Linked DNA regions of Mus musculus: regions 2, 3, 4, 5, 6 and 7 are each reported to be linked to region 1. The links are microRNA targets in miRTarBase. Many come from high-throughput screens and were not tested one by one. Region 1 holds a microRNA gene; each other region holds the end of a gene's coding sequence.

What was found. The annotated mature microRNA mmu-miR-3089-5p reads UGAGUUCAGGGACAGCGUGUCU and lies in region 1 at 2,431-2,452, shown strand. An mRNA with a match to its seed (bases 2 to 7 or 8) in the 3' UTR can be bound and repressed. Matches are read on the target gene's strand: a 7mer-m8 pairs with bases 2 to 8, a 7mer-A1 pairs with bases 2 to 7 and ends in A, and an 8mer does both.
Region 2: the mRNA of Mrpl17 is a reported target of mmu-miR-3089-5p. Seed matches in the 3' UTR shown: 7mer-A1 at 1,454-1,460.
Region 3: the mRNA of Glt8d1 is a reported target of mmu-miR-3089-5p. Seed matches in the 3' UTR shown: 7mer-A1 at 3,191-3,197 and 8mer at 3,162-3,169.
Region 4: the mRNA of Gdf3 is a reported target of mmu-miR-3089-5p. Seed matches in the 3' UTR shown: 8mer at 488-495, 7mer-A1 at 1,002-1,008 and 7mer-A1 at 1,031-1,037.
Region 5: the mRNA of Slc38a6 is a reported target of mmu-miR-3089-5p. Seed matches in the 3' UTR shown: 8mer at 1,130-1,137.
Region 6: the mRNA of Isg20l2 is a reported target of mmu-miR-3089-5p. Seed matches in the 3' UTR shown: 7mer-A1 at 2,671-2,677.
Region 7: the mRNA of Noc3l is a reported target of mmu-miR-3089-5p. Seed matches in the 3' UTR shown: 8mer at 2,475-2,482.

The regions. Positions count from the first base shown.
Region 1 is chr2:30,718,792-30,722,856 of GRCm38, forward strand. It overlaps Mir3089 (microRNA 3089), which reads left to right and starts at 2,419; the gene lies at 2,419-2,502. Gm14488 (a long non-coding RNA gene) reads right to left here and starts at 2,396. Exons shown (of 4, transcript XR_866106.3): 1 at 1,182-2,396; 2 at 915-1,079. Gm39782 (a long non-coding RNA gene) reads right to left here. Exons shown (of 3, transcript XR_866107.2): 3 at 2,772-3,922.
Region 2 is chr7:105,806,020-105,810,078 of GRCm38, forward strand. It overlaps Mrpl17 (mitochondrial ribosomal protein L17), which reads right to left. Exons shown (of 3, transcript NM_025301.2): 3 at 1-4,059. The coding sequence ends at 3,838. Among named protein-coding and RNA genes, the nearest start is that of Mrpl17, 3.0 kb to the right of the region's middle.
Region 3 is chr14:31,011,260-31,015,324 of GRCm38, reverse strand. Glt8d1 (glycosyltransferase 8 domain containing 1) reads right to left here. Exons shown (of 10, transcript NM_029626.2): 10 at 2,884-3,840. The coding sequence ends at 3,650. It overlaps Gnl3 (guanine nucleotide binding protein-like 3 (nucleolar)), which reads left to right. Exons shown (of 15, transcript NM_153547.6): 7 at 1-50; 8 at 299-419; 9 at 648-735; 10 at 1,098-1,272; 11 at 1,530-1,672; 12 at 1,760-1,896; 13 at 2,001-2,158; 14 at 2,536-2,602; 15 at 2,691-2,892. The coding sequence ends at 2,773. Snord69 (small nucleolar RNA, C/D box 69) reads left to right here and starts at 974; the gene lies at 974-1,032. LOC115488429 (a small nucleolar RNA gene) reads left to right here and starts at 99; the gene lies at 99-177.
Region 4 is chr6:122,602,482-122,606,546 of GRCm38, reverse strand. It overlaps Gdf3 (growth differentiation factor 3), which reads left to right. Exons shown (of 2, transcript NM_008108.5): 2 at 1-1,144. The coding sequence ends at 241. It also overlaps a transcript of Apobec1 not described here. Among named protein-coding and RNA genes, the nearest start is that of Apobec1, 2.1 kb to the right of the region's middle.
Region 5 is chr12:73,351,692-73,355,756 of GRCm38, forward strand. Slc38a6 (solute carrier family 38, member 6) reads left to right here. Exons shown (of 16, transcript NM_001037717.3): 14 at 60-204; 15 at 388-482; 16 at 766-2,354. The coding sequence ends at 846. Among named protein-coding and RNA genes, the nearest start is that of Gm40442, 49 kb to the right of the region's middle.
Region 6 is chr3:87,938,746-87,942,810 of GRCm38, reverse strand. Isg20l2 (interferon stimulated exonuclease gene 20-like 2) reads right to left here. Exons shown (of 4, transcript NM_177663.4): 3 at 4,037-4,065; 4 at 2,125-3,573. The coding sequence ends at 3,460. Among named protein-coding and RNA genes, the nearest start is that of Crabp2, 7.9 kb to the left of the region's middle.
Region 7 is chr19:38,785,873-38,789,937 of GRCm38, forward strand. It overlaps Noc3l (NOC3 like DNA replication regulator), which reads right to left. Exons shown (of 21, transcript NM_021315.2): 21 at 2,256-3,825. The coding sequence ends at 3,673. Among named protein-coding and RNA genes, the nearest start is that of Noc3l, 31 kb to the right of the region's middle.

The sequences.
Region 1 (4,065 bases):
CCCCAGAGCAGCAGGCAGCCTTGCCTTGCCTTTGACCTCTGCCCCGTCGCAATGGTTCCCAGAATCCGGGGCCAAGGAGTCACTAGGCCAGTCACACCCTTCACGTGGTCCCGACCCTTGGGTGCCTCTCCTGACTGATCCCACTGACCCCTTCCTCCTAAGCTAGGAACTAGCTAGCCACACAACAGCCGCAGCAGCAGCAGGCTCGCAGCGGTAGTTAGATGACAAAGTTCACCAAACCACTCGGCCTAGCAGAGCTGGGTTAGTTAAACGTCTACTACGGGCCCAGAGCTCCGGCTCCGTGTGGCCTGGTGCCCTACAACCCTCCTGTTGTCGCTATATGCTGAACGCCACCCGGGCACGAAGCAGTTAACGCCCTTGCAGCGAGCTGGCAGAGCCGGCTGCCCGGCTTATTAGTCAGCCGGCGGGGAGGGGGCGGAGGGAAGGAGGGAGGAGGGAGGGAGGGGTTCAGTGGAGAGCCGCAGAAAGCTATTCTCAGGGGCTCCCGTGTGTGGGGAGGGCGGCTCAGCGGGAACTGCCGCTTCCCAGAAAGTTGATTATTTTTAACCCAGGAAGAAGAAAGGAAGGAGGCCCAGGGAGGACTCAGAGAAGACGAGGAAAAGAGAGGAGAGGAGAGAAAAAGAGGAGAGGAGAGGCGAGAACAAGGAGAGGAGAGGAGAGAGAGGAGAGGAGAGGAGAGGAGAGGAGAGGAGAGGAGAGGAGAGGAGAGGAGAGGAGAGGAGAGGAGAGGAGAGGAGAGGAGAGGAGAGGGATAGATATTTGGAGGGAAAGGACAGGCAGGGCAGGGAGGAAGGAAGATGAGGCTTAGATATCCCACAGCAAGGGTTGGGGAACGCTCTGGGCCAATTCTGGAGGAGGAATAGATGTGGGGTACCCACCCCTGCTGGACCTACCATCCTCCTGTCCTTGTGGACTGGCCTAGTTGCATGGGGGCTTGAGGGAGGAACTGGGCACAAGGCAGTTCCAGCTCCTGGGAGTGCTCTCAGGTCAGTGGGCAGCACAATGGCACAGCCTTGTTCTGGCCTTCACGGTGACTCCTGGGAGTCTGCATGGAGGCCCTGGGAAAGAGGACAAAGAGGTTGCCTTGGTGCTTGGGCCGAGAGGGATTCACTTACGGGGGGGGGGGGGGGGGGGGTGTGGGCCCAAGTCACTTCTCCTACCTCTAGGTGGTGTCAGGCTGGGAAGGCACCTCAGAAGCAGGAGCTGGGTTCACAGAGTGAGACAAGCCAGAGACAGCTGGCCCACAGGGCTCGCAGGCGTGGCGAGCCATAAAAAATGCATTGGGTGCCCCCAAGAAGGCTGAAATATCAGGGACTTAGGCAGACTGGCTGTGTGTGTGATCTCAGCAGGGGTCAGAAGTGTCCTAGAGAAGGGTGCATGAGGATCTACTGGGATGACTAACTCAACTAATGCGAAGCCAGGGAAGACAGGACTGGCAGTCTTCAGGCCTCAGATCCAAGTGGTCTATCAATTCCTGCCTCTGGAAGGTTTGGCAGGCTTTTATGGAGCAGAGAGAACAGGTCTCCAAAGCTCCCAGAGGCTAGGAACTGGGGGCTGAACTCAAGCTTGGTTTGTGCCATGGTGGAAGACCAGCCTAGTGCAGATGCGGGAGGAATCAGAAAGCTGTCTGGGCTGGCTATGTGACAGGGAGGGCTGGTGCTGTTCAGGAGGCAGGGGACAACTCACAGGAGCAGGCTGGCAGCTTCGCATATTTGAGGGTCTGGTAGAGATGGCTCAGAGCGCCAGGTGAAAGGAAGACCCAGTGGGGAGGGCTGAGGGAGCTGCAGTGGCATTGCAGAATATGCTAGAATCCTGGTGGACCGGCTGATCCCGGTGGGTCTGCAGTATAGGCAGGGGAATCAGGTTTGTTATGGTAATGGTGCAGAGGGAGAGAGGAGGGTTCTGTTCCTATAATTGAGTACTGGGAGACACAGCAGACAAGACAGTGTGTGGCCAGCAGGGCTGAGCCTCGGGCAGGCCAGGCCGATGCCTGGAGCCTGGGAAGGTCCTGGGGACAGATCAAGAGGCCTCGGGTGTGATGTAAGGGCAGGTATGCATGTTTCTTGCTCTGAGGGCCTTGTCTCTAATTGAGAAGGATTGAGAGGGACCCAGCTACCCCTACCCAGTCACTCTGGAGCCCTGACCAGCTTCAGGCCTTTCCCCAGCAGTAGGTTGGGACTGCTCATTACCTCCACAGGATGTAGAAGGTGCCCACCCACCAAGTCACTCCCCACCCGGCCCCCAACCCCAACTGCTGGCAAGAGGAGAGCAGAGTTGAGCACACAGTAGGTCCTTTCCATGAGCCTAAGCTAGTGGGTAGAGTTAGAGCTACAGACTGGGCTGAGAGCAGAGCCCCTGCCCAGATGCCCTGGAACAGGGAGATAAGGGGAACAGCTGGTGGCTTGCAACTGAGTTCAGGGACAGCGTGTCTCAGTTTCTCTGTCTGAGCATCTGCTGATCCTGAGCTGTGTTTTTAGCTGCAGAAACCCAGGGCCTTGAGGCTCCACCCCTACACTCTGAGCACCACTGCTGCCAACGCCAAGGGGGTCTCGGGAATGGCAACTGAGAGGAGGGGGAAGGTTCTAGGACACATATGGAATCCAAAGTGCTCATCTTCCAGCTCTGAAGGGCCTGCCACGGCTAATAACAGTCTTCCAGCCAGGCAGTGATGGCACACACCTTTAATCCCAGCACTCAAGAGGCAGAGGCAGGAGGGTCTCTATGAGTTCAAGGTCAGCCTGGTTTACAGAGTTAGTTCCAAGACAGCCAGGGCTGCACAGAGAAACCCTGTCCTGGCGGGGGAGGGTGGGCTTCCCATCAAAGCTATGCTGGCCCTGCCCTCTCACCTCCTCCCAAGGGTGAGAAGAATAAGGCCCAGATCTAAAGGACAGACCTGAAGCCACCCCACGGCTGACTGTGTTCTCTGAGCCCCCACCCCTAACCCTATCTACAAAGTGCCTGGCTCCTTGGAAGCAGAGGAGGGTAGGTGTCAGGCTGTCATTCCGTGACCCAAGGCTCCCCATCAGTATGACAAGGGTGTAGGCTAGAGCCCTCTAAAGTGGACAAGACCCAGACTTCCCAGCATCCACTCTGAGAAGCCTAGCTCAGAAGAGTTGGCCAGGGCCCCAGAGCTGCACCTCCTGCTCTGTCCCCATCAGGCATCTCTGAGCTGTGAGGAGCTGTCCCCTCAACAGTGCCTGTGGAACACAAAGAGGGGGGGAGCCCAAGCAGAGAAAGAGCCGCGGGCTGCAGGCGGGCAGGCAGGCTCAGAGCGGCTCTGCTCCGCTTTCTTCTTCCTCCCTCTCTCTTTGTTAAGCTCCTTTTCAGCTGCACAGGCAGAGCCTGGGTGTTCCGAGCTGACAATAATTGCTGCGTCTAGACAGTGTCTGGTAGGAGGCCTCCTTCTCTGTGCCTGCCGGCCTCCCCGAGGCTCCCAGGCCTGGCCCACAGCCCCTGCCCGGCACCCTCAGAGGGTTCCCACACCCCTGCCTCTCTGTGGATGCCATGCCCACCCCCCACCCCCCAGTCTTTCTGCCTCCTAATTCAGTTGGGAGTACAGCTCTGTCCTCCTACCCTTGGGTCCAAAGGCACCCCAGTCTGTTCTATTTTGTGGCCTAAAGTTCAGAAACAAGACACTGTCCAAGAAGCACTGGTAATGCCAGAGGCCTCTGAAGGAGCCAGAGCTCAGCGTAAGGCAGGTGGCTGTGCTGCATAGGCCAGGGAAGCTGCCTTGCTGGGTGAGCTAAGCCTGGACCCTCAGGGTTCAATTCTAAAATTTGATCTAGGTTCTTCTAGAGTTTTCCAACCCAAAGCCCAACAAAAAGACACAGGAATCAGTGTAAGGAAGACCAAGCATTTCCCAGACCACTTTAGGCTGATGGGGATCCGTGTTTTCAGGAGGCTGGGGAAGGAGAACAAGAAACAAACATTAGGAGTTCTGAGATCTGTGCTCAACTCAGCCCTGAAGCTCTGGAAAATTCCCCAGAGTCTCCTAGAGGGTGTTGGGGCAGGCACTCAGGGTGCCACAGACAGCAACAATAACAA
Region 2 (4,059 bases), not on the chromosome of region 1:
CCTCCTCAGGATTTTTTGAGATAGGATTTCTTCCTGAGCCTAGAATTTACCAGTTTGGCTAAGTTGGCTGGCCAGTGAGCTTCTAAGATCTGCATATCTCTACCCTGAATGCCCAGCACTGGGATAACAGGATATACCATCACACCTGGCTTCTGTTTTTGTTTGTTTAAATTTCTATCAGTAGTGTGTGCCACAGCATGTGTAGTCAGTTGTGGGGGTTATTTTTTTTCTACTATGTGGATTCTAGGAGTCAAGTTATCAGGCTTGGCACCATCTTTACGGAATGAACCATCTTCCTGGCCCCACACCTAGCTTTTTGTGTGGCTTGGGATGTCACTTCAGGACCTGATGCTCAAGAGGTGGGCATTTTATCGAGTCATTCCGCCGGTTCTGGAAGCAGCATTGTTAAAGGTAATGCAAATGTGAAGGAAAATGTCTTGTGAGGATATGCAATTTATATACATATTGACCGCCACATGTTCTGATGCAAAATGCTTTTTTATCTTTATCTGAATCCTAGTTAAAAAAAAATTTTTTTTGGGGGTGGGGGAAGGAACACTAATTTTAGTAGTACAAAGCTTGATGTTTTAGACTGCTTTTGGTAGCAATAAGAAGAAATGACAGTCTCAAATGGCAGTAATCTCTCTCAAACACACTTCATTACAACTTGGATTGCAGTTTGGAAGCACTTTAACTTGTTAGTTTTTAATCTATTTTCATTGTTGTCTTCAGTCTAATGCCCTATACCATAGGGAACTATAAAGCAATGTTGTATTTCAGTGTACTACATAAACACAGCAGGCATATCTTGTGTGACAAAGTTATGAGTTTAGGAATGGGGATGATCAGAAGAGCCACGTGAAAGTTTGTGTACAAGTTATGTAGGTCAAAGTGGAGCCTCTGGATGACAGGGACTGTGTGAACAAAGTGTAAAGGGACCTGTGCCAGAAAAACCACCCAAATAAGGTGTGTTCTATGCTTCTACAGCATGAGCTTGAGAGGCACCACGTAGTGGAGCATCAAGCAGATGCTTGATTAGTAGGCAGTGTAAGAAATCTGGACTTTGTCCCATAAAAAACTGGAAATCTATCAGGCAATTAAGATGACCACATTCCTATCATGACAACTTTGTGCCTGGGACATCCCACTAGGAACAATTGCATATTTGCTAATGGAGATAAAGCAGGACATGACTCCACTTAAGATACAGGGATACAGTTACTCGGTTTAAAAATGATAGGTAGGTATTGGGTTCATAGTGCTAAACTTTTAAGTAAGTGTGTTAGGTTTTTTGGGTGGGTGAGGGACATTAGTTTGTCAACCTTATTGTAAAGAATTGAAACCCTCCCCCCCAATCCTTACCATGAGTATGGCAATATGTACCTTCAATCTCAGCACAAGGGAGGCAGAGGCAGGAAGATCTCTAAGTTCAAGGCCAGCCTAGCCTACAGAGTGAGTTCCAGGACAGCCAAGACTACACAGAGGATCCATGTTTGTGTAGATCAAAATCTGGAACTCGATGTGGAGAACCACTCTTTCGAAGCGATGAGAAGGGCTTGGCTTGGTATTTAGGCAATGTCTACTCAAAGGCAGTTATTTACAAATACAGGCAGATTAACAAAGCCTTCAGTAGATGTCTTAGGATTTGTCAACTTTGGGGGGCCAGATTATTAGATATGTAGTGCCCTGTACAACTGTGAGCTCCTTGACTGCTGATGCTTCACTTTTAGCCAGGGTCAGATTTACTGCAAATATGCTTGAAGTATGCAATCTCTAGTATGTAAGGTGATGCTGGAGATTCGGATGCTTCTAATAGAAGGGGTAGAGATACAGCTCAGAAGGCACTTGCTACTAAGTCTGATGACCTGTCTTCCATACCTAGGAACCACAGGTTGGAAGAACTTGGGAAAGCTGTCCTCTGGCCTCTATCTGCATTCTGAGATGCATGTACCCTCCCTACTCAATAAAGAAGTATAAAACATTTAGGGAAATATTAAAGCTCCAAATGGTGGGTGTTCAAAAAAAAATCTGAGAGCCCTTTCATATTTTACCTGTTGCAAAGTCTTCCAAGATTTGGTTTTAAGGGAAGGGCTTTTCCTAGAACAAGTCATGACTCAGGCATCTAACTTGTAAATGCTCAAAAGATAGGAAAAGGGATAAAGATTTACAAAAAACATGTCAAGTTCTATGCAGAAGGAAGAGTGACAGCTCTGCCGGGACCAGGTGATTTAGTGTAAGCAGCTGTAGGGCAAAGAGTCTTAGAATAGTGTCACTGAAGCTAATGTCTTTCTGCTTCCACAGTGACCTTCTACCTTCAGGTGCTGCACTAATTGTTCAGGAGAACTTCTTTCCATGACTCCCTGGTCAAGTCTCTGAACATACAGAACAGCAGCCAGGATGGGTCATATCCCATATTTAGTGGATATAAATAAGCTCCATGCTTCTCACATACCCTGGCCATTCTGAAACAGGATTTCCTCTTTCTGGGTTCCCACAGAGGTCCACTTTTGGCAACAAAAGCTTCCAGGAAATTCCCAGCAGGCTTAACTTTCTAATGCATCACTCTCTATCAACCTTCCTCTTCACACCCTCTAAGAGGAAGGAACTTATCCGGAAGGCCAACATCCTGGCAGATGCCTACAGCCCTATCTATGATCAGGGTGGTGATACATCTATTTGAGTCCACATTCAAAACCCATTCAGACATTGAGTGAAACAAATGTGACCTTGCCTAGAAACAATTCTCAGTTTTAGGGGTACCATGTTATTTGAAGATTCCTGTACAGAGGCTCACACAGCTAGTTATCAGGAAGCAATCTCTTGGGACTGAATGCTTGCTCTCATAGTAGCCTGTCAAAATCCTGTTAAGAAGGGGGTTAGAAGCTCAGGCGGCTGCACCCTCCTTTGTGGATGGACAGACAGTGGTACAGCCATTGGTAAGACACACACATGCTCCTGTAAGCAGGACTAATGAAACTCGCCAGGACATAATCACACACATAAAAAGACATCAAGTGGAAGGGGGACTAGTTGAAATAGGCAGGACAATAGGGTGCATGCATGTGGTGGTAAGCATGGTCAAAAGACATTGGTAGATATGTATGAAGATGCCAAGGTGAAACCTAGTCTCATAGGATTCATAAAGATTCTCATGTATAACTTATAAAAGCAAAAAAGGAATTCCAACGGTGGGTCTCTATGCTGGACGTCAGCCAGTCACCATAGGAAGATGGTTTGGAATCAAGAGGTACAGGGCCCATCTAAATTAGTGTTGAGATAAGCAAACTGAGCCAGGAGGTAGTGCCCCATACCTTTAATCCTAGTACTGAGGAGGCAGAGGCAGGTGGATCGCTTAGTTCAAGGCCAACCTGGTCTACAAACAGAGTTCTAAGACAGTCAAAGAAACTGTCTCAGAAAAAACAAAACCAAAGCAAACTGGCACTGTGTGGTGGTGAACACTTGGGAACACAGGGACAGGAGGACTGCTGCATGGTGGATATAGTCTGGATTACACAGCAAGATCCCCTCCCCTCCAACAAACAAGCAAAACTAGACCTAGAATTTAGAACCTAAGTTGTGAATTTACTGTCTTAGGAGGCTGAGCATCTGGATGCCTCTTACTTTCCATAAATCCTAGGGAAGGACAAGAAAGTCAATATCTTATATTCATATTAAGACTTTTATCTTCTGTGCAAAGAGGATCGTGTGAGTCAGCAGGGAGGTCTGGGTCTCATTATGAGGGGGCTTTACAATGCTACTTCCAGGCCTCACACACTACACGAGCTCCAAGACCCACGAACACGGGCACCACACCTATGCACCACTCTCCAGCTCCAGTTAAGTCTTTGGTGTTTGAACTGTACAGGAGCTGTGGAGGCTTGCGTCCTGGTTATGGTGCAGGTCCTGCTGCAGTCCCAGGAGCAGCTGGTTTAGGAGAGTAAGGTTGCTGTCTCTGTGAGGCAGAGGCAGGGGAGGGAGGTAGTTCCCTTTATATTCTATCACCGCCATCTTGGCCCGATCTTGCTCCTTCCGATTCGGGATCTGTAGCATTCTTGTGTA
Region 3 (4,065 bases), not on the chromosome of region 1:
CCGTGGTGTTCAAAGCCTCAACAAACTTAAAGAACAGAAAGACATTCAAGGTATGCTGTTGTTAGTGGTGGGGGGAAATACTGGTTTCTTCAGATCTGTGATGATTGAAATGTGATGAGTACACAAATGTTGATGAAAGTGAAAAACATGAAGATCCAACTCTGATTTCATTAAAAATTGCAAAGGTAGTGGAGGCCAGCAGTTTTTCTGAAAGCTGGACTCTCTCTGCTGTCATACTTTTTGTATTCCACCTGGTGATGTTTACCAGAATTAAAATTGCTATATTTTATGTTTAAAGATAAAAAAGAAGAAAGTTGTTCCATTCCAAAGCAAAATCTGCTGTGGCAAGGAAGCCCTTTGGAAGCTTCTTGGAGATTTTCAGCAGTCCTGTGGAAAGGATATTCAAGTTGGAGTGATTGGTGCGTTTCATTCAGCTTCTTTACCACATAAGTACTTAGTCAGGGTCTTGACATTGTGAGTGTGAATAGCTTTGTTAAAACTGACAGGGTTTCTCAAATGTTAACTCTGGCTCGCCTTGCCAAAACATGGCCTTCTGAGAGTTCAGTGGAAACACTTGCCTGGTGTGGGCAAGGCAACTATTAGAAAATGTGTTTCTGAGCATAATCCGAGTTTATGTTTATTTGTAGGTTTCCCAAATGTGGGGAAAAGCAGTGTCATTAATAGCTTAAAACAAGAATGGATTTGCAATGTTGGGATTTCCATGGGACTTACAAGGTAAATGGAACTGTCAGTGATCAGAAAGAAATCAGTAGCTGGTGCTGGGCTAAGAGCATTCCTTGGAAAGGCCCAGAAAGGCTGAGGAAAGCTCCCTCAGACAAATAGTGTTGGACCTAGTCTTGGAAAAATAAGTTAATAACCTTACTGTGCCATATATGCAAACATGAATATGTTTGGATATGTAGTGCACAGTATCTTACAGTGTGTAAGGTTTCACATAAACATGAAGCAGTGATGACAGATTGGATCTGACTTAACTGCTGTGCTGAGTTTGTTCAATCCAACCCTGAGCTTCATGTTGTCTTGTCCTCAGATGGACAGTGTCATTGTTAATTCCATGGCTTTTTTTTTTTTTTAAGGAGCATGCAGATTGTCCCTTTAGACAAGCAGATCACAATCATAGACAGTCCATGCCTAATTATCTCACCTTGTAACTCCCCCACTGCACTTGCCCTTCGGAGTCCAGCAAGCATTGAGGAACTAAGACCGCTGGAGGCTGCCAGTGCCATTCTGTCTCAGGCTGATAATGAACAGGTAAAAGAACTGCTCTTTATCTGTATAGATTAGGGACAGGTCATCTTTTATTTTATTTATTTTTTTAAAGATTTATTTATTAATATAAGTACACTGTAGCTGTCTTCAGACACTCCAGAAGAGGGAGTCAGATCTTGTTACAGATGGTTGTGAGCCACCATATGGTTGCTGGGATTTGAACTCTGGACCTTCACAAGAGCAGTCAGGTGCTCTTACCCACTGAGCCATCTCACCAGCCCCCATCTTTTATTTTTAAGGTGGTGTTAAAATATACTGTCCCTGAGTATAAGGATTCTCTGCATTTTTTTACTAAACTTGCTCAAAGAAGAGGTCTGCACCAAAAAGGTGGAAGCCCAAATGTGGAAAGTGCTGCTAAGCTGGTGTGGTCTGAGTGGACAGGGTAAGGTGTCTTTTTATGGGCATTTTGGAAGACAACTTAGAATGAAGAGATTGGCCTGTGTTTGACACATCTTGTCTTTAATGTTAGTGCCTCATTAGGTTACTATTGCCATCCCCCTGCATCCTGGAATCATTCTCTGCATTTTAATGAGAATATTGCAGCAGTCATGAAGAAGGGCTTTAATCTAGAAGAACTAGAAAAGAATAATGCACACAGCATACAAGGTGAAATTCTGTTTTTTTCTGTTACACAAATGGATATAACATAATAGTGAATGACGACAGAATGCTAGAGGTCTTATCTGTTAACCTGAGTTTATTTCCTCTAGTCCTCAAGGGCCCTCATTTAACTAATAGAATCCTTTTTCGGTCTTCGGGCCTGACAAATGGAATACTAGACGAGAAGGACATAGTCGAAGAATCACCAAGACAGACAGAAGACAAACAGGATGCTGACGATCAAGAAAATGGTAGTGGTGAAAGAAATGTAAGTTTTGTTTCTCGGGTTAAAGCTGAAATAAAATTTCTAGCATTACAGTGTAGAAAGAATGAGGGTCAAAGGTAGAAACATTTTAATAAGAAGGGACCCCTGAACTGTTAACTTTTGGTTTTTCGAGACAGGGTTTCTCTGTGTAGGCCTGGCTGTCCTGGAACTCACTCTGTAGACCAGACTGGCCTCAAACTCAGAAATCCCCCTGCCTCTGCCTCCCAAGTGCTGGGATTAAAGGTGTGCGCCACTATGCCTGGCTACTGTTAACATTTTACAAGTGCTTAGTTAGGGGTGCCACCAAGACTGATCTATCCTACCTACATAGGAGTAATGAGAAGTTATGTGCTATTTCATATCAATTTCTTGGTCCACAGGCAGAGATCTCAGATGTGGCCCCTGTAGAAGAGACCAGGGAGCTGTCACCTGAGCAATCAACAGCAGGTGAGTCTGGGAAAGACTTATAAAAAAGCAGCTTGAACACAATTGCCCTTAATTTCTTATGTAAAATGTCACTTTTCCTCTGCTGCAGGTAAGCCATCTGACGGGTCGTCTGCCTTGGATAGAGCGAGTCAAGAGGATGAAACCTATGACTTCACCACAGATTATATATAACCGCCACACACTAACGTGCTCTCTGTACGCTGTGTAGTTTAGTGTATGATATAAACTGTACATCTTGTAAATATGTATCATGTTATAAATTCAAAATAAAATACAAGTATTTGCTTGCATGTGTTTAAGATTTATTTATAGCCAGGTATGGTGGTACCCAGCACTCAGAAGGACCTCTTTGAGTAAACAAAAAATCTGGGGGGGAAAAAAAGATTAGGAAAACATTGGGTCTCCTGGAAATAGAATGATATAGTTGTGACCTGATGTGGGGGAATTGAACTCCGGAAGAACAGCGGTGTTTACATTCTTAAAAATATGGGGAAGTTGCTGGGCGTGATGGTGCATGCCTTTAATCCCAGCACTCAGGAGGCAGAGGCAGATGGATTTCTGAGTTCAAGGCCAGCCTGGTCTACAAAGTGAGTTCCAGGACAGCCAGGGCTACACAGAGAAACCCTGTCTCAAAAAAAGGGGGGGGGGGAGCAAATAGATCTATTGGAAAATGTAGATTTTATTTACAAACCAGGCCACAAGGTACAAAGAAAAATGGGGAAGCAAATAGGTCTATTGGAAAATGTAGATTTTATTTACAAACCAGGCCACAAGGTACAAAACTAAAACCAAACAGCAGTTCCTACCTACAGCAGCTAGATGCAGTTAAATGCTGGAGTTCTCTGTCCTTCAAGTCAGCAGTATAGTAAAGCAAACATTTGGTAAGGCAGATGGAGCCGTGGTAGTCATCTGGATATCTATGACTTCTACCCAGCTGAAGTGTTTTCTGTGGTTGGTATAGAGAAACTCAAGCCCTACAACTGTTACCTTCCCACATAGTGTGTCTTCCAGAGTTTCCTGAGTGACGCAATTAGCTTAAATTGTAGTTCACTTTATGTTTGAGGTATCCATATGTCTTCGGATTAAACTGAATTTTCCTGTTGGGTCTGGAATATACCACTTTTCCCAAACATCAGCATATGAAGCAGTTCTTCCCCAAGGCTTGAAGTGACCATTCCAGTGAAGTAACTTGGCAGCTTTTACAAACTGGGGTGAGTACCGTTTTCCAGCACTGGAACCTTAAATAAAAAGTGCCAAATTAAAACAATGCCATGCTAAGCTGTAGAAACCTAAAGGGAAATACTGATCATAGTCCATCTTGGAGGAGGTGTTTGTTCTTAGATACTAATTCCTGGTTAGTGTAAGTCAGTGGATACATGGCTCTGGCTAACCTTAAAACTTGCTGTACTCTTGCTGCCTTTGTATCTATTCCAAGTGGTAGGATTACTAGCATGAACCACTAT
Region 4 (4,065 bases), not on the chromosome of region 1:
TAAGGGGTTCATGGCAAATTACTGTCATGGAGAGTGCCCCTTCTCAATGACCACGTATTTAAATAGTTCCAATTATGCTTTCATGCAGGCTCTGATGCATATGGCTGACCCCAAGGTCCCCAAGGCTGTCTGTGTCCCCACCAAGCTCTCGCCCATCTCCATGCTCTATCAGGATAGTGATAAGAACGTCATTCTCCGACATTATGAAGACATGGTAGTCGATGAGTGTGGGTGTGGGTAGTCTCGGGACTAGGCTAGGAGTGTGCTTAGGGTAAATCCTTTAATAAAACTACCACCCCACCTTTGGCTTATGCTCTCTTGAATCGGACATGTCTGTCATCATGGTTCATGAGCCCCACAATTACACACATTTGTGTATGACTATGGACCCCTTGGTGAGCTTACTTAATTTGTGCTCATTATGCATAGTAGCTGGGCTTCTTGTTCTTGTTTGAAACAAGGTCTTATTATACATCTTTGCTGGCCTTGAACTCATGGCAATTCTCTTTCCTCTACCTCCTGTGTGCTGGGATTACAGCTGTGTGCCACCAGGACCAAAAAAAAAATTTTTTTTTTTGAAACAGGAAACATGGTCTCTATACCAGGCTGTCCTATAACTATGTAGACCAGGCTAACCTCAAACGCACAAGAGATCAAACTGCCTCTGCTTCCTGAATCCTAGAATTAAAGGCCTGCCCTGTACCATATTATATCCAATTGTATATCTTAAGATTTTAAAATTATTTTGAGAAAATATAACATAGAAAAATTTACGTGAGCTTTAAAAATGTTCACTTGTTTGTTTTATGTGTGGGTGCTTGTGTAAGTGCACGGTGTACATGCAGGAACCCGTGGCGGCCAGAAGAGGGAGTCAGATCCCCTGAAGTTACAGGTGATCATGCGTCTCCTCCATGTGGATGCTCAAGTGGGTCCTGCACAAGAGCAGGCAGCGCTCTTACTGCTGAGCCAGTTCTTTTTTCTGTGTAATCCTGGCAGTCCTGGAACTCACTCCGTAGACCAGGCTGGCCTCGAACTCAGAAATCTGCCTGCCTCTGCCTCCCAAGTGCTGGGATTAAAGGTGTGCGCCACCACCGTCTGGCTTCCTGGGGTTTTCTTAATAAATTTACTTCAACTGAATTATTACAGCAAGATTTTGTTAAGGTGTTTGAATAGATATTGGATTATGTGTACACGTGTTTGATACTTTCCTATCCTTTTTTTAAAGGAATTATTTATTTATTTTTTGTATATAAGTACACTGTAGCTGTCTTCAGACACACCAGAAGAGGGCATCAGATCCCATTATAGATGGTTGTAACCTACCATGTGGTTGCTGGGAATTGAACTAAGGACCTCTGGAAGAGCAGTCAGTGCTTTTAACCTCTGAGCCATCTCTCCAGCCCCCTATTTTTTAAAAAATAATTTATATATATAAATATATGTATTATAAAATTATATATAGAAATAATTCTATTTTATGTGCATTGGTGTTTTGACTGTATATATGTCTGTACAGGGTGTCAAATCCCTTGGAACAGGAGTTATAGACAGTTGTGAGCTGCCAGGTGGATGCTGGAACCTGACCCTGGGAGAGCAGCCATTGCTCTTAACCACTGAGCTGTCTTTCCAGCCCAATTCTTTCTTCTTCTAATTAGCTAGAGCTGACAGCTTGGCACAGCCCAGAGTTATTATCTCAGGGAGACTCAATGGGGAATTGCCTTGATCAGACCGGCATTCGGGTTATGTCTGAGGACATCTTATTGATGGTTGATTGATGTGAGAGGGCCCAGCCCACTCTGGGCAGTGCTACCCCTGAGCAGGTGGACCTGGGGTGTATAAGAAGAAAGCTGAGAGGCTAGAGAGATGGCTCAGTAGTTAAGAGCATGCGCTGCTCTTGCAGAAAACCAGAGTTCAGTTCCCAGCTCCCATGTACTCTAGTGCCAGTAAATCTCACACACACACACACACACACACCTAAAAATAAAATAAATAAATAAATAAAATAAGGAAGAAAAGAAGAAAGAAAAGCAGGTTGAGCAAACCATGAGGGAAAAGCCAGTATTCAGCATTTCTCCATGGTCTCTCCCCTTCAGTTTCTGCTTCCTGTTCCTCTTTTAAGTTTCTGCTCTGACTTCTCTCAGTGATGAATTGTTCTCTGGGGTGTAAGATGAAAGAAGTCCTTTCTTCTCCAGGCTGTGTTTGTTTGTTTGACACAGCAATAGTAAAGCAAAGCAGGACCTTTCTATAAAAGTTATTAAAAGGGAGGCTGGAGAGAAGGCTCAGCAGGTAAGAGGTGACTGTGGCTAAATTTTGTGCACTGGAGTTCAGAACCCAGCAACTATGTAACAAGCCTGGTGTTCTGCAAACACCTCTCACTTTGGTTCTGAGGGGTCCTACACTCTCTTCTGTACACACACACACACACACACACACACACACACACACACACATCTGGACTTTTTGTTTATGTGAGACAGGGTTTCTGTGTAGTCCTGGCCATCCTGGAATTCTCTCAGTAGGCTATGCTGGTCTTGAACTCAGAGATCCGCCTGCTTCTGCCTCCCATGTGCTGGGATTAAAGGCGTGCACCACTATCGCCTAGTTCAAAAATCATTCTTTTTATACATCTGTAATCCCAGCACTTGGGAGACAGAGGTAGGTGGAACTCTGAGTTGAGGCTAGCGTGGTCTATATAGAGAGTTATAGACAGCCAGAGCCACATAAAGAAATCTTGTCTCAAAAAGTAGGAGAAAAGAAGAAGAAAAGAAAAGAAAAGAAGAGGAGAGAAAAATAGTAAAAACCTTGTTGAAAGGATATTGGTGGGGTGGCCCACACCTTTAATCCCAGCACTCAGGAGGCAGAGGCAGGTGGAACTCTGAGTTGAGGCTAGCGTGGTCTATATAGAGAGTTATAGACAGCCAGAGCCACATAAAGAAATCTTGTCTCAAAAAGTAGGAGAAAAAAAGAAGAAAAGAAGAGAAAAATAGTAAAAACCTTGTTGAAAGGATATTGGTGTGGTGGCCCACACCTTTAATCCCAGCACTCAGGAGGCAGAGGCAGGTGGATTTCTGAGTTTGAGCCAGCCTGGTCTATAGAGTGAGTTCCAGGACAGCCAGGGCTACAGAGAAACCCTGTCTGGCGGGGTGGGGGGGGAGAAAGAAAGAAAAAAAGAAAGGAAGGAAGGAAGGAAGGAAGAAAAAAAGAAAGGAAGGAAGGAAGGAAGGAAGAAAGAAAGAAAGAAAGAAAGAAAGAAAGAAAGAAAGAAAGAAAGAAAGAAAGAAAGAAAGAAAGAAAGAGAAGGGACCAGACTGAAGCCATTTTGAATAAAACTTTCATTTTGAACAGAGGTCAAATAAGTTTAAGTTCCCAAGACCTCAGTGTTGAACTGACATCCTGTCTGGCAAGTTGAGACATGATTGCTAGGCAAGTCTCCCACCACAGTCGAATAAACCAAACAGTAGGAACAGGATGAATGTACCACAAAGACAAGTTCCTAGGGAAGACTTCTATCCCTAGATCCTAATTTGTGGGATAACTTGGCAGACTTATTTATTTATTTATTTTTAGATTTTTACACCCTAACATTTGGATACCAAACGCTAACCTACTTGAGCCCTTAAGCTGAATTAGCAGCACCTCGGACTGTTTTTCAGTCATCTGGACTCCCGGAGGTGAGCCTGTATTCTGCTTTCTGGTGGAGCCTCTCTAGGACCCAAGAAAGGAGAAAGTGGACGCAGCACTGCTCCGAGGGTCAGAGGAGGACAGGAGACGGCCCGCTTTTCACTGGTTTCCACTGAGGGAACATTTGCTTCTGGTTCTGGGCATGCTGGATTGCCCATGTCTGTCAGTCTGTGTCTGTGGTTTCATTTAGTTTGAATGTTGCTCTGTGTTTTATATCTGGAAAAACGGGCCAAAGTTCATCTGCTGGTTGTTCACCTCTTAGTATTTACCCATCTCAAGGATTTTCGGGGGGGGGTGTGGGGGGAAGCGGCCGAATCGGGACAACAACAACAATAATAATAACAACAAAAACTGATAAACTGGCACTGTGCCTGCAGCTGAGAG
Region 5 (4,065 bases), not on the chromosome of region 1:
AGCAAGTGCTGTGCCCTCCATCCTCCACCCTTCGCCTGACCTCCTTCCCCTGCTCTTAGGCCAGGAAAGCTTTAATGATGATCCTGTTCTCCAATTACCCGTTCTCCTGGATCCGACATTCCCTGACCACAGCAGCGCTCAACGCCATCATCGTGGTGCTCGCCATCTATGTCCCGGACATTAGAAATGTATTTGGTGTGGTTGGTAAGTTTCCCACTTTAAAAAAACCCATGTAGTAAAGGGGACGGGGATGTTTCATCAGTGGAAGAGCGTCTCCCAGCACGGGTGGGCTCCTCAGGTTTGGTCTCCAGCCCCACAAAAGCCAGAGGGGTAATAAAGTCATCACTCTCTCAGCTGAGCTCACACGGCCTGTTTCTTCCTCTCCAGGCGCCAGCACATCGACATGCTTGATTTTTGTGTTCCCAGGGTTATTTTATCTTAAACTCAGCCGAGAGGACTTCCTCTCCTGGAAAAAGCTTGGGGTAGGTTGTTTCCAACTGTTTAAAAAGGCTTCTATTTTAAGGAATAGTGTGTTTATTACTGTATCTAAGAAGACAGAATATCTTAATTTACAAAGTTCATTTTAGAGTCTGGCATGATGGCTCATGCTTGTAATCCCAGCTCTTAGGGGATTGAGGCAGGAGGATTGCTGAGTGTTCAAGGCTAGCCTGAGCCACAGCTTGAGACCCCATGTACTGACACTGAATGAAAGTCCGCAGTGGAGAGGACGGAGGCTCACACTCAGCATCTCTTCTGTCTCCACAGGCTTTGTTCCTGCTCCTCACAGGCGCTGTGGTCGGAAGCTTCAGTTTAGTGCTCATCATTTTTGACTGGGTCAACAAATGAAAAAGTTTTTATTATGAAGACTAACTTACCTCTCTATAAACAAGAAGGGATCATTGTGGAAGGTGCCATATATGAAAATTACACTCAGGAAAACTGTTAATAGGGAAGCCGGACAGAGCAGCAATAGGAATTTAGCCATTTTAATTTTAACCAAAATTAGAAATACTCAAAATACTTGAAATGTTCTTAAATGTGCAGAGTCACTCTTTTGTTTGGAAGTTTCATTTTCTGTGTTTTGTTCTGTGTCTGAAGCAGGACCTAGCTGTGTAGACCAAGCTGGCCTTGAACTCACAGCAGTCTGCTATTGGGATTTGGTTCTAAGACAAAGGTCTTAATTTGGTTCCCAAAGCCTGGCTTCCAGGCCTGAGGGTCCCTGTCCTCAGCTGGCTTCAATTGATAATTTACAAAAAAAAAAAAAATTGCCAATGGCTGGACAGAAAAATGGAGGTGGGACTTTTAGATTGTACGGGCAAGGGACAGAGAGGGGGAGAGAAGAATCGCCATGATTGAGGGGGAAAGGGATCAGATTTAAGAGCTGCAGGAGAAAGTTATCCAGCAATGTAGGTTGAAAGGGAAAGCAGCCCTGGGGGTTGGGGGTGGGGTGGGTGGGGCTGCTGCCCAATAAGTAACTGGGCAGCACTCGGGAGGCAGAGGCAGGCGGATTTCTGAGTTCGAGGCCAGCCTGGTCTACAAAGTGAGTTCCAGGACAGCCAGGGCTATACAGAGAAACCCTGTCTCGAAAAACAAAAACAAACAAACAAACAAAACACACACACACACACACACACACACACACACACACACACACACACACACACAAAATAAAACAAAAAACCCATAGATTTAGAAGGTGTTAAGCCAGGAATACCAGAGGGAAATGTATGCTAGCCTCGGAGAGGACTAGAAGTGCCCAGCCATTGAGCTAGTTAAGGCATGTCAGAATCAGCTGGAATGTAGACTCATTTGAGAATCCAGATAGCTCCTGGGCAGGCGCAGCTTGAGTGGGACTTGCCAGGAGCCAAAGCGGGTTAACCAATCACCGCTACAGACTGCCTGCTGCTGCTCCTGCCAAGTGCTGGGGTTAGGAACTCTGCCACCATCCTGGCACATGCCTGGCATCTGTGACTTAAAAAAAAAAGTAGCCTTTATTTTTTTTAGAGTAGTTGTGCATTTCCATACGTATTGAGCAAATGAACTGAAAGATTCTATGTGACTTCTTACTCCAACTCTGTAGCTTTCCTGCTATGAATGAATGCCTTGTGTCAGTGTAGCACGTGTTACACCCAGGGATGCTAAAGTCCAAGGTTGACATTAAAGTTTCTCTTGGCCACCACTGATTTTCCTACCAGAATGTCATGATTGGGATCATGTAGGACTGAGTGTCATGTCCAGTCCTGAGTGATGCCCCATTATATGGCTGTATCATGTTTGTTGATCCACTCACCTCATGGAAGACCTTTCTACTACTTCCAGGTTTTGCCAGCCATCAATAAAAGCACTAAAAATGCTGTTTGTATGCTGGTTTTTTTTTACCTGGTCATGTTTTCATTTGGGGGTGGGGGTGGGGTAAATGCCAAGGAGCATATGTGAAGGTATATTTAGTTTTATAAGAAACTGCCAAACTGTGTTCCAAAGCAGTGGTAACATCTTGCACCATCACCAGCAATGAGTGAGTGGCCTGTGATCACATATCCTCACTGGCATTTGGGGTTATTACTGTAGGCTGGTGCGTTCTCGCCAATTTAATGGCGTCTCTGTTTTGAGATTCCCTAACGGCATGATATAGACATTGCACATCTGTGACCTCTGCATATTTTCTTAGATAAGTGTCTAATTCTTGCCCATTTTTAAGTTGGGTTGTTTGCTCATTGTTCAGTTTTATATCTGTGTGTGTGTGTGTTGGATGCTTTTGTGCGGTTAAAAGTTCTCCAGGCCTCAGATTGTCATTATTATATGTGATATTATTCTTGGAAAAGAGACAGATATTGATGGTCCTTCTCATTCAGTGTTTAGAAATTAGTAGAAATTGTAAAACACTGCATTTTGCCCATTGCCACGATGCCCAGTTGGAAACTTGAATCTCAGGCTTTCTGCCATGAGAGTTCTGTGTAAAGGGCCCCCATGTTTGGCAGCCTGCCAGAGCCAGGGTGCCTCAGTCAAAGGCCCTGCCGCAGCTGACCTGTAAAGCAGGGAGTCTCATGTAAAGTAAGAATTTGCATATATGGAAATACACACTTTTGCAGGTGTCCTCTTGCCTTCCCCTTAGGAAAGAGGCTAAAAATTGGGTAACAGCGCTTCCCTTTGGAAAAGATCAAAGAGAACATTGACAACTTGGGTGTAATGGGGAGAGGCCAGGATTTGGGTTGGGATGGGGAGAGACGGGCTGGGTTTGGATCTTAATGAAACGACTCTTAACCTCCATGCTTCTACTTTGAACTCTAGGAAAATGAATTAATACCCATACTTTAAGGACTGTGTGGGGAAGGTTAAATAACCTTTGATAGATAGATGCAGACAAACTCTTTTTTACTCTTTCTTACTACTGTTTGTCCCTTTGCTTGGATAGGTCCCTTCTGGAGAGCAGTAAAGTGGAATGCCTTTCTACCCAAGGGTCTTGGCTTTTTCACCTTCTGTCCTGCATGGCTTTACCTTCTGAGTCCCTTTAGCCTTCACCCCCGAGGAGCTGGCCCTGGAAGCAGAGGTCAGTGCTCTCCCACAGTTCCACGCCAGCTGTGTGCTTCTCCTGCTTACGTCATTCTGAAGCTGGCCACATAGCGTGCAAGCCTGGCCCCTCTCAGCAGCTTCAGGTGAGAGTTCGTCGATTAACGAGCTCCTTGCCCCCTCTTTTTTTTTTTTTTCTGTTTATGAAATAATGCTCATAGGTGTTCAGCTGCTTAAATAAATCTTAACTCTAGTAATACCAAAATAGCCCTAAATCTACAACAGATGCAGGGATGCCCCCGGGGGCAAATGTTAAGTGTGGCGACAGCTGGGCATCAATTAATACTGTGTCACCTGTTCCTAAGACAGTGCCCTGGGAGGTTTGGCAAGAGACAAATATCCTTTGTAACACTGCACAGAATTGAGTTACTACCACGGTGGTGGAGGTGGCCCACTTTCCTTTAACCTTCTGTCCTGCCGGGTTGCTTGCTTGAGTCACATTTTCTGTGAGTTTGGAGGAAGCCGATGAGAAGGCTGGCAAGAACCGTGACCCCTTCA
Region 6 (4,065 bases), not on the chromosome of region 1:
ACCAAATGAACCCTTTTCTTCCCCCAATTTGCTCTTGGCTGTGGTTTCATCATAGCAGTAGTAACCCAAACTAAGACACTTAACTGAGCAGGATTCCATAGGGTGTAATCATAGGGCACGGCCTTTGGGGAACTAGCTGCTCTGGCAGAGATTATTGTGCAGCTTGCTACTCAGAAATGTTGGGCTAGGATCCCAGGCCCTGGACTGAGAAACCTCTTACTCAGGCTAACATTATGCATGCACAAGTCTTCTGATCTATGTCTACCCTAGAGTCTCACTCTGGAGCACTGAAGGTATGTGGGGCCCATTCAATTTGTGTATGTGTGCCTACGTGTTCATAGTGCACACATATGTGCCTGTGCACACATGTGGAGGCCAGAGGTTGATGGTGGGTGTTTTGTTAGAGACAAGGTCTCTCTTCATTGCTTTGGCTGCCCTGGAACTCACTCTGTAGACCAAGCTGGCCTTCAACTCACCGAGACTCCATAGTGAGACCACTTCAAAACCCCAAACCTTATGATCTTCCTATCTCTACCTCACGAGAGCCAAGATTACAGATATGAGCCTCCAAAACCCAGCCTTGCAATGTTGACTAAAAACCTTAGTTCTAGGCTCAGGTCTCTTTCCATCTGCTAAACTTGTCTCAACTACCCAGCTGGCTATCCAGTTGCTCAGGAAGCCAGAAACTACCCACCTTACCTTTCTCAAACCCTTTGTTGGTGAATCCTCCCCTGGGCTTTGTTGAAGTATTCAACACATCTATCCCTCTCTTGTCCCAACCTCCTGATCCTGCTAATGTCACCTACTCTGATACTCACATTCTCCTCCCACTCCACAGATGGCTCACCTCTTGGCCATTCCCCAATGCAGATTCCCTACAGCAGACAGCATTGTCTTTCAAAAATACACACCTGCTCATCTTATTAACCAGCATTAAATCTTGGCTCTAGACAGCAAATGTGTGGCTCAGTGAGGTTTCTTAGCTTTTCTTCTTCAGGGCCAAAGATTTCCATTTCCAGTATCTAACACACCACCCAGTACAGAACAGACGCTGGGTGTAGTGCCCATATTCTGCCAGATACTACTCAGATGCTAACAGCAAGGCAGGGACTTCAGGCCTACTCACCAAACCTGAGTGCCAATGCAACCTCTACATCCTTGGCCTGGGAGAGACACCTTGCCTTTCGGTTAACCTCAATCTCCTCAACTGTTAAGTTAGAATACTGCCTTGAGGGGATGGAGAAATGGCCCGGTGGTTAAGAGCACTGGCTGCTTTTGCAAGAGACCTGGGTTTGATTCCCTGTACCCATGTGAGATCTTACAACTGTCTGTAAACCCAGTTCCAGGGGATCTGATACACCCCAATGGCCTCCATGGGCACCAGGCACACAAGTAGTGCAGTTATACATAGAGGCAAAAAAAATCCCAACCAGCTTTGAGTGACACAGTGCAGCTCAAGGGCTCAGTATAGGGCAGGGCACAGTGAAGCTCTCACGGAGATGGCAGTCTTACCACAGCCACCCTCACCCCCATAATCAATTACCACCCATATAAACCAAGGGTAGAACTCAGGATCTGGTATTAAAACTCCAAGAAGTAAATGATAAAATGAAATCGTGAAGGGACAGGGACACGGCTCCACAGAGTAGGGACAACCATGCTGCAGACCCGTGACTCACCTTCAGGAAACAACGGTGTGTACCACTAAGGAAGAGCTGGCAGGCTGCGTCACCAAGCTCCCTTCCTCCCTTATGTACATGGACTCACTCCACCACATTACCCTGCGCGGCTTAGGGTGTCACTTCAAGTGTGACAGGAAAGCTAAGGCCCTATGTGTGACAAAGGCTTACCAGAGCTTCAAATCATCCAGCAAACAAGGGCTCCAGTGACCCATCCAGAGAGCCTAGAAATCCCCACAGGACTACACAGCCTTCCACACGAAGAGATCTTATTTAATACAAAGCCATAAAGAATCCACTACGTGAGCTGGAGAGGTGGCTCCTCCTAGAGGATCTCCGCCTCCCCGCCAGCACCCACTTCCCAGACTCACAACGGCCTGAAGCTTTAGTTCTGCAGGATCTGACCCCTCTCCTGGACCCTGAAAGCACACACATACACATAAGTAAAATAAAAATAGATCTTTATATGTAAAAAAAAACAAAAAACAAACCCACCAGTTTTCTATTATAAAAATCCATAAAAAGAATCGTATGAACTAAGAGGCTGCATTTGCAAGGTGAAAGGCTGAAAAGGCTGAAAGACGATTAAAACTATACAAATTCTTTTTAAACTAAGTGGAACCTAAATTAAGTAAACACTGTTAGTCAGTGCTATGTAACGTGGCTATAAAATTCAGCAAGCAACCACAAAATTCTTTCCTTCTCTGTTTCTACTTCTCTGACCCAGAGCTTTTTCTATGCACTCAGATTGGTCTTAAACTTTTGATCTCCCTGCCTTGGCCTCCAGAGTCCTGAGATTACAGACCATTATGCTGAGCTCCAATCAGGACTTGTCTGAAAGTGAAAAGATACTGCTATTTACTTTAGAACAAAAAATCCCATAAAATTAAAAGAACCATGCTGGGCGTGGTGGCGCAACACCTTTGATCCCAGCACTCGGGAGGCAGAGGCAGGGGGATTTCTGAGTTTGAGGCCAGCGTGGTCTACAGAGTGAGTTCCAGGACAGCCAGGGCCATACAGAGAAACCCTGTCTCGAAAAACCAAAAAAAATAAAAAAAATAAAAGAACTAGGCACAGTGGTGAACACACACCTGTAGTCCCAGCTACTCTCGGGCCTGAGGAAGAAGTCATCTGAGCCCAAGTGTTTGAGGCCAGCCCTGGCAACTCAATTCCTTTACCCTACTCCCCACCAAAAGGAGACATATCTATGACATGTGTCCCATAGAGAAGGTAGTGTGGGACACTGTTTTCCCTGGTGTGCCTTGCTTCCTCAAAGTCAAGGCTGACTGGCACAAGCACCCTGTGACATGTGGTTAGCACTCTAAAGAAGTAAACAGTTATGGTTCATGACTTTGTATTCCATTCCTTCTACCCTCCCCCACCCCACTGCTGGAGACTGTACCTAGTGGTTTATGCATGCTAGGTAAGTGTTCTAGCGCTGGGCTTTACCCCTGGCCCTCTTTTTATGTTAGGACAGGGTCTCACTGACCTAGAATTAATTCTGTAGTCCAGGCAGACTTTACATCTATAACCTGTTTCAGCCTCCCAAGTATCTGGGATTACAGGTCTGAGCCACCTGCCTGACCTAGAGGTGGGTTTAACATGAAAGCTCTCCTCTTCCATGAGACACTTAACCACACAGTGACCAAAATAGCTGAGATGAAATTTCAATGGGTATTAAGCCTCTGGCCAAGCCCCTCTCCCCAGTGATTCTAGCTTCTGCAGGTGAGAAGCTGGAAGAACTGTGGGTTGGTCTACTGCATGTGTCTCCCTGGGATTGCTAATTTTCTGGAGGATTCTGGGCCAGGTGCTGTTCCCATTCAACTTCAACCAACTTGTACAGCTCCATTGTGGCCTGGGCATCTTCCACCGAGGAATGTCCAGTATTTCCAACCTAAAGGAAAAGAACATGAAGACGAGAACTGTTGCTTTTCCCAGACAACTGGACTCCCTGCATCCCGCTAGTTGTCTATACTTTCTCTTCTATAGTTTATGAGTTGTAGTCACAAGTCTACTAGGGCCCTCCTCCCTAGCACATTTCAGTTTCAACTCCCAGAAGGCCTGCTCATTTGAGTGACGATGCATATGTATCTTACTATTAAGCTCTGCAGAGGCAGGACATTTCAGGTCAAACAGACTGTCTGGGTCTTCTTTCTTAAATGTTCTCTGTGTGACATGTACCCAGAGCTCCATATTCTGTGGCCATGTCCTTGACTGCTGAGCATGTGAAATGCTGAGTGCTCTTCTTTCCCACTGTACCATCTGGCACGGTCTATAAAGCACCCAGGATTTATTATTTCTCCTTGCAGACAGGGCTACCGGGTCACCTTTGGTGGGGGCACTTAGAGAGAAGTTACCTGGATGTCCCGACTCAGGAGCTTCTTGG
Region 7 (4,065 bases), not on the chromosome of region 1:
CAGAATTCTGGGTAGAACACAGGTACACTTCTCCTTTCCTTTGAAGAGACAAGCCTGCATGTTTAACTTTCTTGGTTTCCCTGCGTGCACAAGGACTTTGCACCTTCTACATGTGAACCCATGTCAAAGTTGGCAGCTCAACTTGTAAACAAAAATTACCTGGCAATAAAGGATTAAAGAAGCCAGCATGATACTCAGGAGGAAGGTGAAGACACTCTGTTCTTCTCAGTCAGCTGTCCACTTACAACTCATTAATTGGTTAGAATACTAAGGAGTGTCTGGGAATGGGGGTACTGGGGGCAAATCTGGGGGCAGTAAGGATGCTATCGGATGGTAATGCCCTCCTGAGGTAAGACCTTCACATGTCATCCACAGCACAAGCATGAGTTAAGAGTGTCCGGGTGATCAAAATGGAATCTGGACTCAAAACCTGTTTTCATAATGGCTTCCCATCTCCAAGTTTCTCTTTAAAACTTATCTTCCTCTCTCTCTGTCCCCTCCCAGTATACCTGCAGATGCCCAAGACTGGGTTCTGAAAGGAGTAAGGGTTAGCTTTGTTGCAGTAAAATAGAATTAACTCTAAACCACATTTAAAGCTTCCCTGCCAATAAAGAACAAGGTTTTGGAGATTTTTTTTTTTAATCTTATATTTGGCAGTGTAAGACACAGCCCCTGGGTAAGAGATCACAGATGCACTTTTAACCCCTTTACAGACGCTTCTCTCACAAAAGGCCAGAAAAGGCGAACGCACAGGTCCCAAGTGATCAGACAGCAACGTCTTAGACAAAGTCTGGACCTTTCTTACCCCTCCCATGTGCTCTGGGATCTCTTCCTAAAAGGAACCACAAACCAGAGACTTCTAACTCGAGAGTATGATAAACAAATGGCTGAACCTCCATTACCAAGATACTTGACACCTCTTTGACTGAACTCGTTCTGTGCTTAATTTCGGATTACAGCCTCTGATCTTGGAAATAATTCATTCTGACACTGAACTGGGTAATGCCTCACTTTTTAAGTAGCGTGAATTACCTGACTTAGCATCAAAGACCATGAAGCACCAAGGCTGTTTTACTCCTACTATCAAACTTCACTTTTAAGTGCGTCGTATAATAGGTACACAAGATCTGTCTTCAAAAAATTAAGGCTGTAGCTTAATATAACCCTCAAGGGGTGTGTGTGTGTGTGTGTGTGTGTGTGTATCTCTATACATACCTATATATACCTATATATAGAGATACACACACACACACACACATATATATATATATACATATATATATGCTTTTGATTATTAACAACTATAATACTTGCTCCACAAAGAAAACATTAATATAAGGCTATATAAGAAAAGTAATGTTCAACATATTCACATTATTGAAATGCTAACTGTATAGATTTATGGTCCAAATGTGACAAGGTTTAGTACAGTAATGAAATATCCTGTCAATTAGCTATTTTCACTGACTTTTCACTTATATACAATTGATGCTGATGAAGTAAAATATGAATGCATCGGTGTTAGAAAATAATTGATTTCCAACATATGGACAGATCTTTTGGTTGTATATGCAAATATTTCTAACATTCTTAGAATTTCTTATTCAAATAGTGGGGTTAAAGAAAGTATGTATATGCTGAACCATACGTTTTCTCATCATCAATAATCAAACCTTAACTGGGTGTAGGAGGAGGCAGAGTCAAGAGCCTCTCTGGGAGTTCAAGACCAGTCTGGTCTACATAGGGAGTTCCAGGACTGCTAGGATTATAGGGAGAGACCCTGTTTCAAAACAAAAAACAATAAAGCCTTAAAAATAGGCCTTCAGAAATATTTTTAGGCTGGGCATGGCTTTAATCCCTGGTAGGCAGATCTGAGTTCCAGAGCAGCCCAGAGTCTATAGTGAGCCTCTGTCTCAGAAAGAAAAAAAAGGAGAGAAAAAGACTTACTTCCAGAACTCACACATAAGAATCCCCTCAAATTCAAATCCAGCTGGTAACTGTTCCCCCACTGCTCTCTCCTCCAGTAACTGTGCGGCTCTTCTCTGCCCACATACCACGTGCCCAACTTAATTACGAAAAAAATGTCACCATCCCTGACGCTTCTGGGTGGAGGGATTTTCTGCTTTCACATTTTTATGAGGAAAGAACTCTTGAGTCCCAGAATGACTGGTTTCTATGGCACTGAACTAAGTCTATTTAGCTGAGCTGCTTTTCACTAAAATAAAAAACAAACAAAACCTCGTAAGACTAGGAAGTAAAAATCGAAGCTACTTTATTCAGTTAATAGCAGAAAGTATTTACATACACATTTTGTATTTGTAAGTCATTTCTACAATGATAATAGCTATTATATAAAATAGTTCTTTATAACTATTTATAAACATATACAGTTTTTATCTGTAAGAATTTAAGGTGGGCGGTGGTGGCGCACGTCTTTAATCCCAGCACTTGGGAGGCAGAGGCAGGTGGATTTCTGAGTTCAAGGTCAGCCTGGTCTACAAAACCCTGTCTCAAAAAAGAAAACAAAACAAAACAACAACAACAAAGAATTTAAGAGAAAAACACTTTCCTGGTTGGACAGGAACCGATATTCCTATGGCACAATGGAAATCTTGGACCTTTCATCTTACTGAGCAATTTTCCCCTATCACTCTCAGGTAATAAGTTAACCCAACTTCAAAGACTCTAGATTCTGACTCATACTCTCTCTCACACTAGCAATGAGAGCACTCATTCCTCCTTAAAGGTCAGATTTGGTCATTCCTTGTGTCATTCAACAAGAGCCAATGAACAAGAGTATAACTTTAACTTATTTATCAAAAAATTCACAAAATTGGGGGCTCCCAGAGACTGAACCACCAACCAAAGAGCACAGAGGGCTGAACCTAGCCCTCCCCCCATATGTAGCAGATGTACAGGCTGGTCTTCATCGGATCCCCCAACAACCGGAGCTGGTCCTACCCTGACTCTGTTGCCTGCCCGTGGACCCTGTTCTCCTACCTGGGCTGTCTTGTCTGAACTCACTAAAAGAGGATGTACCTAGTCCTGTAGTGACTTGAGGTGCCAGGGTGGGTAGATACCCAGGGGGGAACCTTCATTCCTTTAGAAATGACAGGGAGGGGGTGGGAGGGAGGAGTCATGGGGGGAGGGGGACTGGAAGGAAAGGGATCTACGATGGGGATGTAAAGTGAATAAGTAAATAAATTCATAAAAAATTCAAATCAAATTAAATCAAATAAAAAAAAAAAACCATGAAGGTTAAAAAAAAACCCACAAAATATTTTATTTGCTTTCAACTATGGTGCTGCAATAACAATATTTTTTTAGTTATAAAGAGAATTTAATAGCTGTCTTGTTTAGGTTTTGTCTACTTAACTGGAGTAACCTGAGCAGAGGAAATCTCAACTGAAGGACTGCCTCCACAGACTAGACTATGGCACGTCTGCAGGGCATTTGTAGATTTCATGACTGATGGGCAGTGCCATTCCTGGACAAGTTGGTGTGGACTGTATAAAAAGGCAGGCCGAGCAAGGCATGAAAAGCAAGCCAATGAGCAGGGTCTTCTGTGGCCCTGCTCCAGTTCTCAAATAATCATTCTTAGGAAGTCTTCCTTGTACAAACAGAAACAGGCCCTCACATATCCTTGTGTCTCTGCCATGCACATGCAGATATCTAAGACAGTCCATTCACTCTGTACTGCCGGGATGAGCTTTCCAAACACTTGGCGAAATCCAGCGGTGTCTCAGGAGCAGCTTCATTACAGTATCTTTTGATTAGTTGATTTAAATCTTCATTCAAAAATGAGTCTCCTGGTAAAAATTTATCCTGAAAAAAAGTTAAAATTAATAGTTAAAGCCACACACATTGTAAGTAATAACCAATCTGAGCAAAGCCAAAACCATTGCCAGTGAACACCAACCACGGGAACAGAGTCTATGGGGCTGCATGCAGTGACAATACAGAAGGTACAGATGGGTACATCCTGTGAGTTCAAGGCCAGCCTGGCCCACACAGTGAGTTCTAGAACAGCTAGAGCTCATAGTGAAACTGTCTCAAAACAAACAA